Mus musculus: one gene and its partner. The protein of the gene in region 1 interacts with the protein of each later gene in a pairwise test. Links are inferred from orthologs where the notes say so. Each region holds a gene or a part of one and is shown on either strand. Other genes may lie near its edges.

Evidence for each region.
Region 2: the proteins of Dazap2 (region 1) and Bag3 interact in binary tests that used the Homo sapiens proteins (3 or more experiments, as listed by UniProt). The two-hybrid records come from large-scale screens. The link is inferred for Mus musculus from reciprocal best matches to the Homo sapiens genes DAZAP2 and BAG3.

What each region holds. Positions count from the first base shown.
Region 1 is NC_000081.6:100,614,249-100,618,851, reverse strand, and holds the start of Dazap2 (DAZ-associated protein 2), read right to left. Parts: upstream 3,191-4,603; 5' UTR 3,141-3,190; coding exon 3,128-3,140; intron 2,803-3,127; exon of another isoform or gene 2,530-2,802; intron 1,940-2,529; coding exon 1,821-1,939; intron 928-1,820; coding exon 682-927; intron 1-681. UniProt on the Homo sapiens protein: In unstressed cells, promotes SIAH1-mediated polyubiquitination and degradation of the serine/threonine-protein kinase HIPK2, probably by acting as a loading factor that potentiates complex formation between HIPK2 and ubiquitin ligase SIAH1.
Region 2 is NC_000073.6:128,536,904-128,540,834, reverse strand, and holds part of Bag3 (BAG family molecular chaperone regulator 3), read right to left. Parts: intron 863-3,931; coding exon 524-862; intron 1-523. UniProt on the Homo sapiens protein: Co-chaperone and adapter protein that connects different classes of molecular chaperones including heat shock proteins 70 (HSP70s), e.g. HSPA1A/HSP70 or HSPA8/HSC70, and small heat shock proteins (sHSPs), e.g. HSPB8.

The DNA.
Region 1 (4,603 bases):
ACTAGTGGGCTACATCTTCAGCAACCCTAGGTTTTTAACATACAACATTGTTAAAAGCCAATAATGATACCATTCTAGTCACCTCACTCTAGAATGACTCCTAAGAAGATGCCCTTTGCTAGAACCTTGTGGGCTACAAACCCCATACACAGTGTCACTGAGCAGGAGGACCTGGAAAATAAAACCTACTTACTAGGGACCGTGCATTCTACTTTCTTAATCATCTGGGTTCCTAGTACATTCCCCACTCATGGCAAATATTAAATGCTTATGAACTCACCAAGCAGCACCCCTGGACCAGTTCACTGTGCCTGAACAACTGAAAAAGGAGCTAGCAGTCTTTTTAAATTTATAGACAGGGTTTCTCTATGTTGCCCTGGCTGTCCTGGAACTCGCTCTGTAGACCAGACTGGCCTCAAACTCGGAGATCCCCCTGTCTCTGCCCCTAAGTGCTAGGATCAAAGGAAGATGCCACTAATTTAATAAGACAAGAAAACAAATCAACCTGATTAACTCTAAAACCAAGGGCTGTGTCCAATGCCCTGATTGGCCCGGCCACATTTCTGCTCTGAGAGGGCAGCAGCTGTGCCAGCCCTGACCACTATGGTTGGAGAATGAATATGAAGTCATTTCAGACTGTTCAAGTATACAAGGGCTGAGCTCCCAGTTAGGCATACTCACAGGAATGTTGCCAGCAGTGGCACCAGCTCCAAATCTGGCACCTGCATCATACCCTCCTTCCACCAACACTGCTGAGCCAGGTGGATAGATGGGACCAACTGGATAATAAGCCATGGGGATTGTGGAGCCTAGAGGCCCAACAGCCACAGACTGGGCCATAGGCAGATACAATGAGGCGCCAGGAAATGCAGCTGACATGGTGGGGACTGTGGCAGCCCCTGGATGAACAAAGCTTGGACGATAGAGCTGAAAGAAGCAGAAGAGAAAGCAAAACATTATTTTTGTGACATTCCTATTTGGAATCTCTTTAAGTATTATTGAGACCATCTCCTGTAGCTCAGGCTAGCCTTCAAGTATGTAGGAGTGGATGACCTTGAACTCCTGACTCTCCTGCTTTACCTCTTGACTATGGAATTAGAAGCCTGTGCCACCAAACCCAGTTCACATTGTGCTAGGGACCAAATCTAGGGCTTGGTGCATGCTAAGCAAGCATTCTACCAAATCAGGTACATCCCCAGCCCCTTGTTTGGTTTTGGAAATGGGGTTTGGTTATACTGGCAGCCTTGAACTCAGCTTCCTCCTGACTCAGCCTCTCAATGCTGAGACTACTCGCCTGTACCACCACGCATGGCTCATGAGTCCATTCTTAGTTGTTTTTTTTTTTTTTTTTTTTTTTAAGATTTATTTATTATATGTAAGTACACTGTAGCTGTCTTCAGGCACACCAGAAGAGGGTGTCAGATCTCATTACCAGTGGTTGTGAGCCACCATGTGGTTGCTGGGATTTGAACTCAGGACCTCTGGAAAAGCAGTGCTCTTAACCATTGAGCCATCTCTCTAGCCCCTTGTTCCTAGTTCTTGTGTTTGCAGATTACACACTGGTTATAGTCACTGGCACACAGTATTCTGAGTCATTTGCGTCCACAGCTACTATTGTGCTCAAGGGACCCAAACTCAGCTTAAGTCAGCATGTGTCAAATAGCATAATCAGATACTGCATTCAATTCCAATGGTAATTTTCACCTTAAGTTCTAGATGATTCACAGAGCATCCTTCTGCTTGTGAAGTCAGATTTGAAGACTTAACAAGGGGATCCAAGAGTGTTCTCAACTAGCTACAAGTCTAGGAAACTGCAGTACCTCTGAATATGCAGGTGGAGCATCAGTATAGGGTGGAGCCTGAGGAAGATGTAAGGTCTGAGGATATACTGGATTCCCAGGAGGTTGCACAGGGTAGGTAGGCTGTGTTGGATATTGACCTGGAATACAAAAGGGGAGGAGAGATGTTGTCTGTCAGATTAGGAGGGGAGGTGGCAAACAGGAAAGATGCTCAGTGTGTGAGACAAAGTGCTGCTCTTCCTGAGGACCCCAGTTCTATTCCCAGCACCCACATATGACACAACCTCCTTTCAACGCTACCTTCTGCCTTGGTGGGCACCTACACTCACACTCACAGACACTTACACAGGCAGAGGCAGGCACACTTTGAATAAAAACAAGTTTGTAAGCAGAGCTACTAGACGGGCCAGGGTGCACAGGGTGGGGAGCAAGCAGAAGAGCTGCAAATAAGGCTGCCTTATTTCTTAGAGCCAGGAAAATAAGGATGGTCTCGGCACCCTCGCGCCCGAAGGTGCTGGCTTCTGACTGGGCAGAAGGCGCCGTTCCCACTAGCATACTGATTGATGGAGGCTAACTTGGCCATGTTCCCTTTCGAATAGAGGGCAGGTCTGAGGACCCGTTCCGGGGTCTCCGGACTGCTGGTGTCTTAGGGGACTCCTCTGGGTGATCTCCCCCGGGCTGTGCTGTAACCAGTCCTGACTCTGTGGGACCCACGGTTCTCAGTGTTTACCTCACGGGTTCCTAGTCAAGGTCGACCTCCAAAGAGTGAGTGACTGGAAGTTAACCGTGAGAAGGGCGGCGGGTGGAGGGGTGGGGAACGCGACCATGTTCTCACAAACATTAGCAACGCACAGGGGCGGCTACGAGTCCGGGCCCCGAGGAGGAAGCGCCAGAAGTCCCCGGCGGGCGAGAACGGGTCCTCGAGGGCCTGGGCCGTGCAGCGGAGCCGGCACCTCAGCAGTTAAGCTCGGCCGAGGCCTGTTGTTCCGAGGCGCGGCGCCCCGCCTCCGCCCGCCCTCCATTGGCTTCCCCAAATCCCTGCTCTAGCTCGCCATTCGCTCCAGCCGCTGTCCGTCACGGAAAAGCCCCCCCACCCCACACACAGGAGCCCGCGGCTCCAAACTGCGCCACACGGTTTATGGGGTCGGGGCCCAGAGGGCCGAGCGGCTGCGTTGTGGGGGTGGAGGGGGGCGGCCACGTCAGGTGCGGCCGCGCTGTGCGGCCCGCTGAAGAGAGCCGCACAGACCGCCCCAGGCCCGACGTCCCCCAGCCCGCTCGACCCGAACCCGCCCGCTTCCCCGACGGCCCCCGCCACTTCCCGGCCTTGCCTTTGCTGTTCATGGTGGCTCTGAGTCCGCTCCCACTCGGCGTCGCGGACGGTTATTTTTCTCGTCCTCTTCCTGTTCGGAGTCACTTCCGTGTCACGTGACGTTCGTCCACTCTGCGTCAGGAGATGCCCGAGTGCGCCGCCGCCGGAAACCCCGCCCCCTCGCAGGCCGGCCAGTCGCGGCAAGGAGGGCGCTCGCGGCCCTGCTCTGCTCGGAAGCCCCGCCCTCCCCGCGCGCTCTGCCCTCACGGCGCGCGCCTCCTCTGGGCTCGGCCCCGCCCCTCCCTGCGCGGCTTCGCCCTCACCGCGCGCTTTGCCCTCACTAATTGCCCCGCCCTCCCTGCGAGGCCCCGCCCTCCTCGCTCTCCCCGCGTTCCTTGCTCTCTCTGCGCGGCCCCGCCCTCACCGCGGTCCTTGCTCTCACCGTGCGCCCCGCCCTTATCACGAGCCACTCCTTCCCGCGCGGCCCCGCCCTCACCGCACCGCTAGCCCCGCCTCCCTGAACGCTCCGCCTTCACCGCGGGCTCCTCCTTTCTGCGCGGCCCCGCCCTCCCTGCGCGACCCCTCCCTCACCGCGCGCTCCTCCTTTCTGCGCGGCCCCGCCCTAAAGAAAGCGGAGTCAGCTCATCTCAGGGCGACTTCCTCACTGTGAGTCGCCTCTGCTCACCAAATTCAGGTGTGAACACAGGCTGTCACGACTCCACAGTGCCTGCGAGACGCAGCCCAGACCTCAGACCTTAGCCTGTCCGCCGTTCTGGTCCTTCCAGGCCTCTTGTTGAGGGCCCAGCGCCTGGCTTCGTGCTCGGAGATGGACCGTGTCCCCGCGCCCCGCCCCCTGTCCTGAGATAGACCGTGCCCCAGCACAAGCTGAGGGGACGCAGCCAGCACCTGCACCCTGGCCTGGCACGTCCTACGGGGACCTGAAAACTCCCTACAGATGTTGTGAGTGGTTTAGCCCGCGCTCAGTTGTCCAGAAGAGTAGCGACGACGTCTCTTAGGACAGTGATCACATTTTTTCCCGTTTCCTCGTTCCAGAATATCTGCTGAGCAACCGAACGCGCTCTCATAGATGCACAGAGGAACCGACCGCCGCAGCTGTCTGCAGAAGTTCGTGTTGTGCGTGGTCAAGTAGATGGGCAGGCTTTGGAGGGAGAGGTCCTTGGTGAACGGACTCCTGATTCGTCCGACACCGAAGGCCTTGCTTGTGTGTCAGGTGTCTATTTAACAGTTTGCGTGGCGTCCTGTAAATGCAGTTTCGTCCAGTCGGCAAGCACAGCAGCCTGAGAGGCTGATCTAGTTCAGCCTGGGGACCTGCGCATGAGTGTCATGGGTTCACGCCGACACACATATAAAAATAAACATTCGAGAAGAAAAGAAAAACTGATCTAAAGGACAGGTTACAGACTTGAGTTTTGTGTTCGGCCTCCCAGGTTCCGGGTCAGTATTTCCATTTTGGTTTCCTGTCAGCACACAGAGC
Region 2 (3,931 bases), on another chromosome or scaffold:
GAATGAGCAATATACCCTTTCACTAGCGACAGACCTCGAAATGGTGAACCTCAGGGCTAAAGTTGTCGCCTTTCTGACCTAACGCTGGATTTCCTTTAGTGGCACGCCCTGAAGACCGAGCTGCCATCCTGAATTTATCTCCAGCTTAGGTCCAAAATGGTTGATGTCCACCCGAAAGGACTGAACAGAGTAACTCTGAGCTCTCTGTGAAGCAGGGAGCCCAGTGTGAATAGGAACACTGATGAAGGAAGCGAGGCAGTTGCTCTGAGCTGTGAGACCCCTACCGCTATGCATTTCGATCATGCAGTTACCATGTTGGCGTCAATTCTTCTACTACAAAAATAAGCCATGTGATCTCTGGCCATCTGAAAAATACAGGCGTAAGATACGGGGACAATGTGAGGCCGCCAACCAACTCTCTAACGAGAACCACTGAGGCTGCAGGCTATGAGCCCTGGGTACTACCAGGCAGGTTGCTGGCCCAGCACAGACTGGGTCTCTGGGTCTCTGGGTCTCTTCTTACCTCAGGTCCATGAGCAGTTGGGGGCTGAGCTGCTGCAGTTGTTGCAGTTGCCGGCATCTGTCCACACTGTTTATCTGTCTGGGCGGCTTCTGTCATGCCGCCACGTAAAGGAGACTGGGACCTCTGCGGAGTGGCCGCTGCAGCCTCGGTACGAAATCGCTGCACCCCAGGCTGGGAGTAGGCATGGAAAAGGTGGGGCTGCCGGTTCTCGGAGCCTTCATGGAGGACGGGGATGGGAATGTAGCCTGGTCGGAGCTGGGGGTATATGGGGTGGCCTTCCCTAATGGGCAGCAGGCGGGAGCCATCGCGGGAAGGGCCATTGGCTGAAGATGCAGTGTCCTAACATAAAGTAAGGAGGAACAAAGACTGGTTAGAAATGTGGCAGAGCAGTCCCTGAGTAGGAGGGTGGTGCTGAGAGTCTCGGATCTTCCTGGGTGACATGGGCCTCACACTTCAGTCAGGCTGAGCACAGGGGGCCAGACCACTCCACTGCTCTGCTTTCTCCAGAGTCCCAGTCTACTGTGTGAGCGGCACTTTAAGGTTTAGGGGGACTGGAAATGGTGGTCATGTCTTTAATCCCAGGACCTGAGAGAGGTAGAAGTGGGCAGGTTTCTGTGACTCTGAGGCCATTCTGGTCTACAAAGTGAGCTCCAGGCTGGTCAGGGCTATATACTAAAACCTGTCTCGTGGCACACCAAGGAGTCAAAGTATCAGTTTGAAGTACAAGAGAGGTCTGTTTCTCACAGTGGTGAGAGAGGTTTTTTTCCTGGGTGACAGCAGTGTAGACAGCAGATAGTGGCAAACCACCCCTGTGCATCTTCAGAGGGTGAAGCCAGGTGACCCCAGGAAGACTCAACTCCAGTTACAGCAGCACACTTCTCAGCTGCCAATATTTCTCATCTGCACAGCTTGTATTTGATCAATACAGAATGTAGCTTGAAAATCTTTCTGGAAAAGAATGTAAGCATGTGCTCTGTGTGTGCTGTGTATGTGTTGTCTGTGCTCTGTTCTGTGTGTATGTGCTGTGCTGTGTATGTGCTGTTCTGTGTGTTGTCTGTGCTCTGTGTGTGTGCTGTGTGTGTTGTCTGTGCTCTCTCTCTCTCTCTCTCTGTGTGTACTCTGTTCTATGTGTTGTGTATGCTCCGTGGTGTGTTGTCTGTGCTATTTTGTGTGTTCTGTGCATGTACCGTGTATGCTCTGTGTGTTGTGTGTAATCTGTGTGTGTGTTTCAGGAGCTAGCTAGCTCCTTGGAACTATTTTTAGAACAAGCTGTAGGAAAGGAGATGCACTGGAATGCAGAAGTGGTGCAAGAAGAGAACAAAACCAGGGGATTACTCGCCAGTCTTACAAGGCCAACTACTAAGAGTCTCCGCCTGGCTAACTTTATAGCAAGGCTACTGGGCTTTCTCCTAGGCCCAGCTACGTGTTTCCTTGTAAAATCCAGCTATTGCAAAAGAACAGCTAAATCAAGCCAACCAGAACCTCCTTGTTCCCAGCCCACCATGGTGGATAGCCCAGGTCTGGCCACCTCCAATCCTCCCCAGATGTCTGTCCATCACCCTTGGATGGTCAGAATCCTGCTAGGTCAGTCTGGTTAGACTCCCCCTTGCCTTCGATCAGTTTTCCCCTTTGGATGCTATGCTGTCCACCTGTCCCACATTGTGCTTTGTCTGCGCTCAACAGGGAGCCAGCTGAGCTCATCTCTCCCTACTCGAGCAGCAGTGCTCTGTCTCAGGGCTCCCAGTAAACAGTTCCTTGGCACGTTTTGAAGAAGCACCACAGAACCTTTTCCCCCTTCGGTACAATAAACCCTGTTTGGCCCGAGGGCAGTTGGGGGTCCTTCCTGTGTCCTCACATGAAGTTGTCCCTTTAGAGGCCTGGCTATTTTGGGACCCTTGAGAAGGCCAAGTTCCAGATGTACCTCTGGGCAGATCTTATTTCAGACACTGAGGCCAGTCAGCCACTCACTGGGCAAGGACATCTCTCTCCAACCAGAGTCTGTGCAACTTTGTCTCCCAGTGTCCCCTGAACAGGAGAGTCCTTCCATAGACGAGGGAGCTGGCTGTGTCACCTGTACAGATCCCACTAGGATATGGGAGTAGGTAGTGGCTCTGTTTGGGAGGGTAAGCCTTCTTCAGGGAGGTAGCTCTCCAAATGACAAACAAAATGTCAAAAAAGCTGGGAATCTGTGAGCCCAGGGTGTCAACTTCTACAGCTGCAGAACTGGGCAAAGGCCAAGGCCAGACCCTGAGGGTTGGTTTGCATTTTGAGTGAAAAGACCATTAATTCTTCCATGTCTTATATTTATATACAGGTTTAGACACCAGGTGGCTGACCCTGGAAGGTGCCCCTTTCAGCTTCTCTCCTGCTGAGACCTTGCCCCTGGAGGGCCTCCAGAATACAGAAAAGGCAAGGGTGTCACTGTGTCCTTGGGGAGAGGGGCAGACAGGCACTTGGTACTCTCAGATTAGAATCCCCACGTGCTCAGGACACCAGCGTTATTTTAGCTTGCTTAACTCTCAGGTCACCCAAGAGCTGGGAGTAGATCCAGGCCTCACACAGAGAAAAGGGCCCAGTTCTTGATCGGAGGTGTACACCATGGGGAACTGGCAAGAGACAACGAAGAATCCTGTCATAACATGTTTTCTAGGCAGTGTGTCTACTCTTGGGGACAGGACCCTTCTTTCCAGTTGAAATCAGACTTTGCACAGTCCTGTCATATGTTCTCTGGGGACTTCCTGGACTTACTGTTTGTTCTGGCCACGAGCAGAGCCTCAGCCACTACCTACTCCTCAGATCTAGGCACCTAGAAGGCCTGAGCTAGCCTCATCTACAAGTTCCGGTGAACATCAAACTACTACTCAGATAGGCCCCAGGAGTGATCAAAGCAACAACATATGACCCTTGATAGTATGTAAGGAAATCCTGGGTTCAACTCCAACTATCATATAAAACCAGGCGCATATATACAACCCCAGCACTTAAGAGGCAGAAGCAGGGCCGGGCGGTGGTGGCGCACGCCTTTAATCCCAGCGCTTGGGAGGCAGAGGCAGGTGGATTTCTAAGTTCGAGGCCAGCCTGGTCTACAAAGTTGAGTTCCAGGACAGCCAGACCTATACAGAGAAACCCTGTCTCAAAAAACAAACAACAACAACAAAAAAAAAACAAGAGGCAGAAACAGGAAAGTCACAAGTTCAAGGTCATCTCCAGCTACATAATGAGTATGAGGTCAACCTTGACTACATGGGACCCTGTTCAAATATTAGACAAGTCAATGCATGGAACAAACAGGAAACACCTGAAGAGCAGGGGAGGCTGAGGTACAAGGGGAATGTGGGGCTGTCCCACAGGGAGGCTAACCTAGCTAGGATCCAAGCTCCGTTTTACTACCGATTAGTGAGCATGGAT